Linked DNA regions of Sus scrofa. The protein of the gene in region 2 binds, or shares a complex with, the protein of the main gene of each other region. Links are inferred from orthologs where the notes say so. Each region holds a gene or a part of one and is shown on either strand. Other genes may lie near its edges. The genes, in order: FERMT2 and ITGB1.

Region 1 (4,434 bases), on a different chromosome or scaffold from region 2:
GTGGAAGTAACATTTAAGAAATGCATTTGAAGGTCTCACTTGACAATCTAGGAAAAAAAATCCCCAGTTTCAGAGATTCAAGTCTGACTCCTCTTTAATCTTCAAAGCAAGAAACAGCTTGAAATACTCAAAAAGAAGGCTAAAGAGACCAGCTGCATCCTTCTCAATCTATTGCTCCAATGGTTCTTTCGAAGGTCCTTGGCTTCCTGTGCTTTATACGGCTCAGACACAAACTGCTGATTTTCTAAACTAGTAAAGTCTCTTATAAAGCAATAATTAAGCTGTTTCAAATGCTAAGAAATGGGGCTGTTATATGCAATGTTATCCCACCCCCTGCTCCCTCTCCTTTAGGAAACACTCAGAGAAGTGGGCAGCAGTCAGAGAAGTCGGCGAGGTGGTGGGAGATTGTTCAGAAAGTAACTCACTGAAGAGTGAGGCAAGAACCAGAATGTGGAAACTGAGTAGTAAAATGGTTTCTTAGACGACAGTTGACTTCGACAAATTTGTCGGAAGGAAAGGATGTGCATATTTTTGGTTCTGAAAGGCATGTTTGAGAAACCATAGTTATTCGGAGCTTATGGGAGCACTTGCAAAGGTCTTAAGGTACAATTCTTATCTTCATTCCCGGCTCCATTTTAAATCTCGAACCCTTGCTTCCTGTCCTTTTTTTCCTCCTTGTTTTGTGCCATGTATGCTATCTCAAAGTTTATGTATCCTTATACATTGCCACACATCCCTGCGGGGATAAAGTGTAGAAATAAATATGTAGATTTACAAGTCAGGACTTCCCCGGTACTGAAATATCTCCATGGGGCAGAACTAGTGTGTCCTGGACATCTGTGTTAATTTGATACCAGCATGTTTTCCATTTTCTTTGTGCAGTGCAAAGAATCTGAAGTCCCTGCTATCCAAGAACTTATAATTTACTGGGGGATTTTAAAAAACACATAAGGAAACCCCCAAAAGTCCTGTCCAGGTGTCCAATAGCTACTCTATCAGTTGTGTCTATCGTTTTGAATGTAATGGCATGTCCATGGAAATTGATATGCTGAATGTAATTCAAGGCAGTAACAGACAAGTCTTGAATGCAAAGCCTGAATGAAAATGAAGAAGAGGGAAAAACAAAACAACAACAAAAAAAAACTCTTATTATCTCAACACCAGAGAGCTTCTTAATATTTTGGTGTATTTCCTTTCAGTCTTTTTTCTCTGCTCTGAATATTTAAGACAAAATATGCTCGTGATTTTACAACTACATGTACATATTTTTTAACCCTAACAAGTTTTTCTCTACTTTATTAAAAAACATTTTCCTCGATATTTTCAACACCGCAATTTACATAGACGTTCCCTCCTCTCTGGTTGTCCATACTGCTTCCAAGTGAATGATTTGGAACATCCATGAGTAGAAATAGAGATTAGAGACTACAGACTCGAGGCATCAATTTCTCCATGATGAGTAGCTGAAAATACTGTAGTGTTTTACCCTATTTTTGGTGCCAAACCTCTGGCATCTGACTAAATTTCGCTGCTTCTCTTTCATTCTTTTATGGGTTCCACCCCTTTCTTGAGGCCTCTAACCTCGTTTCCCAATTGTGTTGCTGAACACATCGTTGTTTGCGGGGAGGGGGAGGTCCTCTTCGAAGAGACTGACACAGGTTCAAGAAGACTTTGAGACTTTTAAAAACTGGGGTCTTTTATGGAATCTGGGACATTTTATCCGAGTCTCCCTGACTTAAATTTGTTGAGCCATGCTTTTGCCAGCGAGGCACTTTCCCCCGCTAGCTGCTTCTGACTGGCTCCCTCTCCCCAGAGTGTGGCAGTAAAAGGGGGAAGTGGAAGAAAATTGGGAGCAGGAGGACCGTTCTCCATCACTGGTCAGCGTCAACAGGTAAAGCTCTTTATTTCTTCCAGTACCTGCTGGCCCCGGTCCGGAGCTATTAAAATTCCTTCAAGGTGTGGCTGAGGGTGGGGTAGAGGATGTATATCGATCTAAACGCCTTAGTAGACTGTTAGTTCTAAATTGCATATTTAAAAACATACAAATACGTACAGAGTTGAAGAGGCTGCAGAAACAGTTTTCGAATAAAACTCACTTCCCTGATTTGCACTCCCCCCCCATACGAGCATCGTAGAACCTATGTGACTCACTTCTGGTTGGAGCTTCCTAATGGGTTAAGAGCGCAAGCAAACTCTTAGGAGTCCAGTAGGAGTTGCTGGTTGTGCCGGACATTGCTTGCAAAGCAATTTTTGTGGTTCAACTCCCTTTGGGTTTTTTCATTCTTTTGTCGGATGTTCACGGAGCTGGCTTGGGCATTTACTTTTTAAAAGTTTTTATGTCCCCAACCCCCAGTTCCAGCTCCCGGAGAGCGGCACCTCTCATCGCCCCGAGACTTTTGGGCTCGCTCCAGACGTGGGGAGGGGGCGGGGGACTTTGTTCCCTGAAAACGACCTTGTCCTGGGAATTTCCTGTAACCATTTCTCACGGACCGGCCCCCTCATCCAGCTGGAAGCCAAGACACCCGCCGCCGCGGGCGCTCGCCGAGCCTGAGACCCGAGCGCTGCAAGGAGCGCCCAGCGCCCACCCGCGCTGGGTAGGAGGCTTCTGCGTTCCCCGAGCTCCCCCTCCTCAGGTCCCGCCGGCGAGAGCCCGGATGTTGGACTCAATCCCTACGCCGGGTCCTTCATTTCCATAAAAGGGCAGCGGATCGGCGGGGCCGAGATTGCTGCCACCGCGGGCGCCCCCCGCCTCCCCCGCACAGCTCGCTCCCCCGCCGTGCGCCGCCCCGCCCCCCACCCGGGAGTCCAAGCGGCTCTGGCCCCCAGCGGGGCCGCTGGGGACTGTGGGGGAGGGGCGAGGCGGCTGGACCCGCTGCGGGCAGCTCCGCGGGGCGGGGAGGAGGGAGCTGGCGCGCCCGGCCTGAGCTGGACTGGGATTGAGGGGGCGGGGAGAGAGGGGTGGAGCACGGAGGGAGAGGCGAGGGGCCGTGAAGAGCGGACTCCATTAGTCGCTCCGGCCGGGAGGCAGCGCTTGCCTGCTGAGGTGGGGACCCGACGCCGCCGCTCGGCGAGCCGCCGCCCCCGCGCCTGTTGCAGCGCGAGCCCGGGCTTGGGAGCGCGAGGAGCTGGAGGAACGCGCGGTGAGGGGCCGGGCCGGCGGGGACTGAGGAGGAGGGCGGGTGGGGGAGCGGACTGTGCAGTCCGCGGGCGGCGTCTCCCGCCCTGGGTGCGGCCGGCAGGCAGGTGAAGCCCGCCGCGGTCCGCTAGGCGAGGGCCGCTAGCCTGAGGCCGCGCGGGGCTGGCGGGCGGGCTGCGCCGCGTCCGCCAAGGGCCGCGGCGGGGCGGGAGCGTGGAGCGGCCGCCGGGAAGCGGCGCGGGGCGCAGAATCCTGCCCGCAGCAGGGCCTGCGGCCGCTCTCCCGAGTTGGTGCGGAAACCCTCGTGTCTTCCACCTTCTCCCACCCCGCGGCCGACTCTGCGAATTCGGTGGGATTTGCCTTCCTTTGGGGGAGTGACGCTGACGAGAGCCATTTCCTCCGTGCTCGCAGGAAGGAGCCATGGCTCTGGACGGGATAAGGATGCCAGATGGCTGCTATGCGGATGGGACGTGGGAACTGAGCGTTCATGTGACGGACCTGAACCGCGATGTCACCCTAAGAGTGACCGGGGAGGTGCACATTGGAGGGGTGATGCTCAAGTTGGTGGAAAAACTCGGTAAGTAGCATCCCAGCCGCGTCAGAGTAACGACTTACCAGACTAGAGGCGGCGGGCGGCGGGTGGGGGAACTTAAGGCGGGAGGAGGGGTGAGTTTTGGAAATCTTCCTTGGCATCCCGAAAATACTGTTTTTAAAAAAGTGTAACATCTTTCAGTATTTAGAGCGTTTTCCCTTTGAATCTTGTTTTGTATTGTTATTCTTTGAAGTTTTCATAACGTGGTAATTCCAGCCTCCCAGTTAATAAACTTAATTACCTAAGAAAACTCCTAATTCTTTACATTTAGCGATTTCACATTAAAAGAAATGAGAAAAGTGGGCAAGTGAATATTGAGAAGATTATATCACAGGGTTTGTGGTTATCGATTACTATCATCAGTGTACCTGAATGTTGGTGACATTTGGTTCTGAGGATGATGTAAAATCTATTTAAGAACAAATTCTGCCGGAAAATGTGCAACTTCTGGCGCCAGTATGATGGTTTTGTAGCTGTACTGCTACGTGATGGAGTATATTAAAATGTTCCAGTCATCCACTCTTTCAGGGGTGGGGCATTTTTTGACTATCTGTAGTCTAGTCTTTAAGCTATTTTGAGCGGTTTTATGTAAGTAAATAACAAGCTAGTGAGGAATTTTCTCTGTGGCTCAGGGGTAAGAAACCTGACTAGTATCCATGAGGACGAGGGTTCAATCCCTGGTCTCGCTCAGTGGTTTAAGGATCCG
Region 2 (4,284 bases):
TATTAATCCCCAACTCCTAATTTATCCCTTCCCCCACCCTTAACTATAGGATTATTTTCTGAGTCTGGTTTGTTTTGAAACCAAGTCCATTTGTATCCTCTTTCAGATTACACAAATAGGGAAACATGATTTAGTCCGTTAACTTTGGTCATCTATTAAACGGGAAAAATCATTCCCATTTCTTTAGAGGTTCCCAGAGATTACCTAACCAACAGATTTGATTTTGCTGGTAAGCAATGAACAAAGTTTCCATAGATGGGATTGTGTGAGCTTCTTTTAAGGTTGGCAGCTAAATGGGCATCGCGGCTTCTAATCTCCCCCAAATGAAACACTACTTCTCCATTTCACAAATCTCATAATTCGAGTTCTATTCCCAACAGGGTGCTCCAGCTCACCACGTGGCGAAGCACATTTTCTGCTAACAGGATGGCAGCCTGCCAGCAGCATAGTCAAAGTGACTGGGTTTCAGTATGATGCCGGTTGGCACAGGTTTCATTCCTCTGATTAAGAAGTGCCCAGCCTTGCTCATAATGAAATGTTTCTCTTCTCGTGTTTTAAACGTCCCTTCTTCTGCAGCCCCCCAGCCCACCTACTAAAAAAACTGAGGATAAACGGAAACCGTATCAAGGAGGAAACTTCCTTCTCATCCGCGTTCCCCATAAACGGACGTCCAGATTAACCTAACAAAAGCTGCTCTCCAATTTACTTTTTCTCTAAAACTTTTCTCTTTCTGGGTCCCCATCTCCTCCCTAAGTCTCCCCCTTTCTCAAAGACGTAAGTCAGGCAAATCCTCACGCCAGAAAAATACTGGCTTTAGCTCCTTCCCTTCCAAAAGGAAAACGTCTTGGGCCCCAGGAAGCCCTGCAAGGTGCGTGATTAAGTGTCTTGATTTGCGGGAGTCTCCGGCGGCTCCCTGGAGGCAAGGCTTCCAAGGTTCAAAACCAGGCAGTCCCGGGCAGGACAGACGTGCGGCCTTAGGAAAGCAGCACCTAAGACAAGGCAGGAAGAAGGCTCCAGAACTTCTCACGGGAGGAGATTAAGGCGCGCTGGGCGGCGCAGACCCTTCCTCCCTGGGCAGCTAAGGAAACTGAGGCACGGCGAACGCTGCGGCAGAGACCCCCACCACCGGCGCCCGGCAGGCCCGCTCCTTTGTCCCAGCGGCCGCCCTCCCCGCCCCTCCTCCACCTCCCACCCCGCGTCCCTCCCCCACCCCCGCCGCGCGGGCGCGGCTGACGCCGCCCGGCAGGAATGCGCTTCCGGAGGGAGAGGGCGGCGGCGGCGGCCTGAGGAGCTGGATTGCCGCGCGGAGGAGGCGGTGCCGCGGGGGTCGTTTCCTGCCAGGAGGCGGCCCCGCGTCGCCGAGTCTCCTCCTCCCGCCCGCGAAGGAGGAGGAGCTGCCGCCGCCGCGCCCGCGCCGCAGCCGGGGAGGCCACGCCAGCCCTCGGACAGGCCGAGCGGGAGTCGCGGAGCGCTGGTGGAGCCGACCGCGCGGGCCGGGCGCCGCGGGAGAAGGTGGGCGCGGGCGGGCGGCGGGCTGGGTGCGCTGCCGGCCCGGGGCCCCGGGGCGCGCGTGGGGGCCGCGGCCTGGGGGCGGATTCCAGCCGTCGGGCGGGGGAGGAAGTCGGGCCGCGCCCGCTCCCGGCTTCGCTCTCCGACTGTCCGGCCGGGGGAGGTGGAGGGTGCGGGCCGGCCCAGGACGCTGTCCGCGGGAGGCCGCGCTTGCGGAGGCCCGGGGCCAGGATCCGCCGCTCGGACACCCGCTGTGGGCGCCACCCCGCCGGCTGGGCGCCGACAGGCCTTCGCGGGCCGGCGTCCTGGGAGCGGCCTCGGCCCCGCCGCCTTACGCGGCGGGTCGCGCGGGTGCCGGGCCTCCGCGCGGGGACAGCTCCGCCTCGGCTCCAGCTCTCCGGCGTTGCTCGGAGAAGGGGCGCGGGGTCGGGCGTCCTGTGGGCCCCTTTCCCCCCGAGGCTGGTTGTGGGCGGCGGTGCGAAGGGCTAACCCCAGCCGCTGCCTGATTCGTGCGGTTGCTTAGGCTTCATAACAAGTCGTATTTTTAAGAATGCCAGTATTTAATGCCCAAGTAATTCTTGTTTTATCGGATGTGTGTTTTGGATCAAAATCTAGCGCTGGTTGGTTTGGTCCCTAGTAAATTAGACTCTTTAAGGTTCCATTTCCTCTGCTGTAAAATGGGAGCAATACCGACACTAATAAGAAAACGTAATTGTTATAATAACGGCATAAGTGAGGGCCATGCTTAGCTCTACACACTTCACCTGTATTTTCTCGTTTAACCCTGGATCTGAGCCGACCAGGTATATGCTGTTTTTATCCCTGTTTTCCAATTGAAACCGACACACCAGGAGCCTGGGTGATCATCCAGCTGTAGTGAGGAGAACCCATGGGGTCTAGCAGACGTTGTTTGAACCACAAGTAACCTTGCATAAGTACCGTGTAGTGAAAAGCTAATGGAAAATGGAAAACACTTAGCTTAGAGTAGATGCTCAATAAATATCAACTCCTTTTCGTTCCTTCTTGTTTTTTTTTTTTTTTAAAGTATGCCTGTAGTTGATAGCATCATTAGTAAGGCGTTTTGGAGTCTGCGTTCCACATAAATATTTAGGGGAGTAGAGTTACTGGAATGTTATTTTTTATTGTTTTGGTGGTACAAAAATAACCAATGCTAAATGTTTTGATGAGGCATCTTTCTTCAACTGCATGCAGCCTTTCCAACAGGTTGCATAAATAGACCACTTGAGAAATGATTAAGGGATTTTAGTTGCAAGTTACCTATTCTAAGTCTGTGAATATCAAGGCCATAGGGAGGGTCAGGGCTTATTTAAGAGTCCTACTGTAATGTTCATATTTGAAAATAATTTTAGTCCCTTGTTTAATAATAAATGAGTGAAGAGGATTAATAAATAGAAAACACGTGAAACAAATCAGTGTTCTGGTTATAGATGTCTGAGGAGACAAGACATTTTACTCACCCTAAAATTCAGTATAAAATGGAAGATGTTAGAATGCTAGTTTAAAAGATAGGGGATGTGGTTAATACTTTACTTCTGTAAATAGAAAACAAACTCCAAATCAAGTCATCTGTGTTGAGGTCACAGACCTAAACATTTAAGCTTTTGTAATGTTGATTCCTTTTAGAAGAATGTTAAAAAATACTCTATATTAAGATTGTTTTATAATCCCGTCAACATCCTGCATGTGAAAAGAATCGAATCAGCAATACTGAAAATCACTGGATTCAGGTGGCTTTTTCCTCAGTTTTCTGGTCGGTATAATTAAAAGCTGCCCCAAATTAGCATCACATGTATTTCTTTAATGGGGTGGATGAATTCCTAACTCCTGGAGGGACTCTGGGGCTGTAAATAGTGAAAATCAGTTTAAGGTGGTGCTAGTTTTCATGGAATGATGGCCACTTAGTAGCTTTATTGTTTGGTTTCTTGCCAAATTGTGGCTTCTATCATCAAGGGGTAATATTCTATCTGAAGGAAATATATGTTTTTAATTATTTCACAAGGACACTGGTTTGTTCTCTGCTGGAATGATGAGAGGACACATCTCTCTGGTAAAAGTTTCAGAACTTTTGAGTTCTGAGAATGGACATTTCTGAATGTGTAAGAAATTGAATTAGTTATCTGAGAGGATTCATAGGGACTGATTGCCCCACTCTGGATGGAGAGGTAGGATCTGTCTGGTTGTGAGTAGATTCCTAGAAGATCATATTGTGCACGTAGGTAAATGTCTTGTTGTATTAGCAGGTCTACTCTGACTGTGATGTGTTGTGGGGTTTTTGTCCTTTTATATTGTTGCACAGGTGGGGGTATTGGGGTAGGGAGGATGCGCCGACAGGCGTGAGAGTAGGGAAGAGTATATTAGTCTTTAGAACCTGAAATGATAGCAGCATCTATAGCTGTAGAAAACTGCATACATTAAGAGTATGTATCTAGGCTAAAGGAAGTGCAATCCCTATAAACCCCAGCCTTAGAATATTTCAATAGATGAGTGAAAAAATGTAGTATATCTTTTTCAGAAGATGTATGCAAAAGGAGCCAAGCTATACTTTGTGAATTTCTCATCTTTTTTTAAGACTAATTATCTTACACAGAGTTAAGTTTTATATATAAAATAAAAGTCAACTGCCTTAAAGCTGTATTTTTGGTTTGTGGCTTTAGAAGACAAGGTTAACTGTATCTAGCATGGTGCTGAAGCATGTGTATATCATGTCATCATGTAATGTGTGAAAAACTGCTTTGAATATACCTAGTACATACG

The links.
Region 1: the proteins of ITGB1 (region 2) and FERMT2 are in contact, whole or in part, in a crystal structure (PDB 8TEE), measured with the Mus musculus proteins. The link is inferred for Sus scrofa from reciprocal best matches to the Homo sapiens genes ITGB1 and FERMT2. Residues at the interface, in NP_034708.1 of Mus musculus: Ala786, Val787, Thr788, Thr789, Val790, Val791, Asn792, Pro793, Tyr795, Glu796, Gly797; in NP_666166.2 of Mus musculus: Phe609, Ser610, Asn611, Met612, Lys613, Gln614, Trp615, Asn616, Val617, Asn618, Trp619, Glu620, Ala629, Asp630, His647, Ile654, Ser657, Thr658, Lys674, Leu675, Ser677, Gly678.

Annotation. Positions count from the first base shown.
Region 1 is NC_010443.5:182,604,072-182,608,505, reverse strand, and holds the start of FERMT2 (fermitin family homolog 2), read left to right. Parts: upstream 1-1,615; 5' UTR 1,616-1,891; intron 1,892-2,485; exon of another isoform or gene 2,486-2,594; intron 2,595-2,932; exon of another isoform or gene 2,933-3,140; intron 3,141-3,547; 5' UTR 3,548-3,556; coding exon 3,557-3,713; intron 3,714-4,434. UniProt on the Homo sapiens protein: Scaffolding protein that enhances integrin activation mediated by TLN1 and/or TLN2, but activates integrins only weakly by itself. Binds to membranes enriched in phosphoinositides.
Region 2 is NC_010452.4:56,127,597-56,131,880, reverse strand, and holds the start of ITGB1 (integrin beta-1), read left to right. Parts: upstream 1-1,369; 5' UTR 1,370-1,512; intron 1,513-4,284.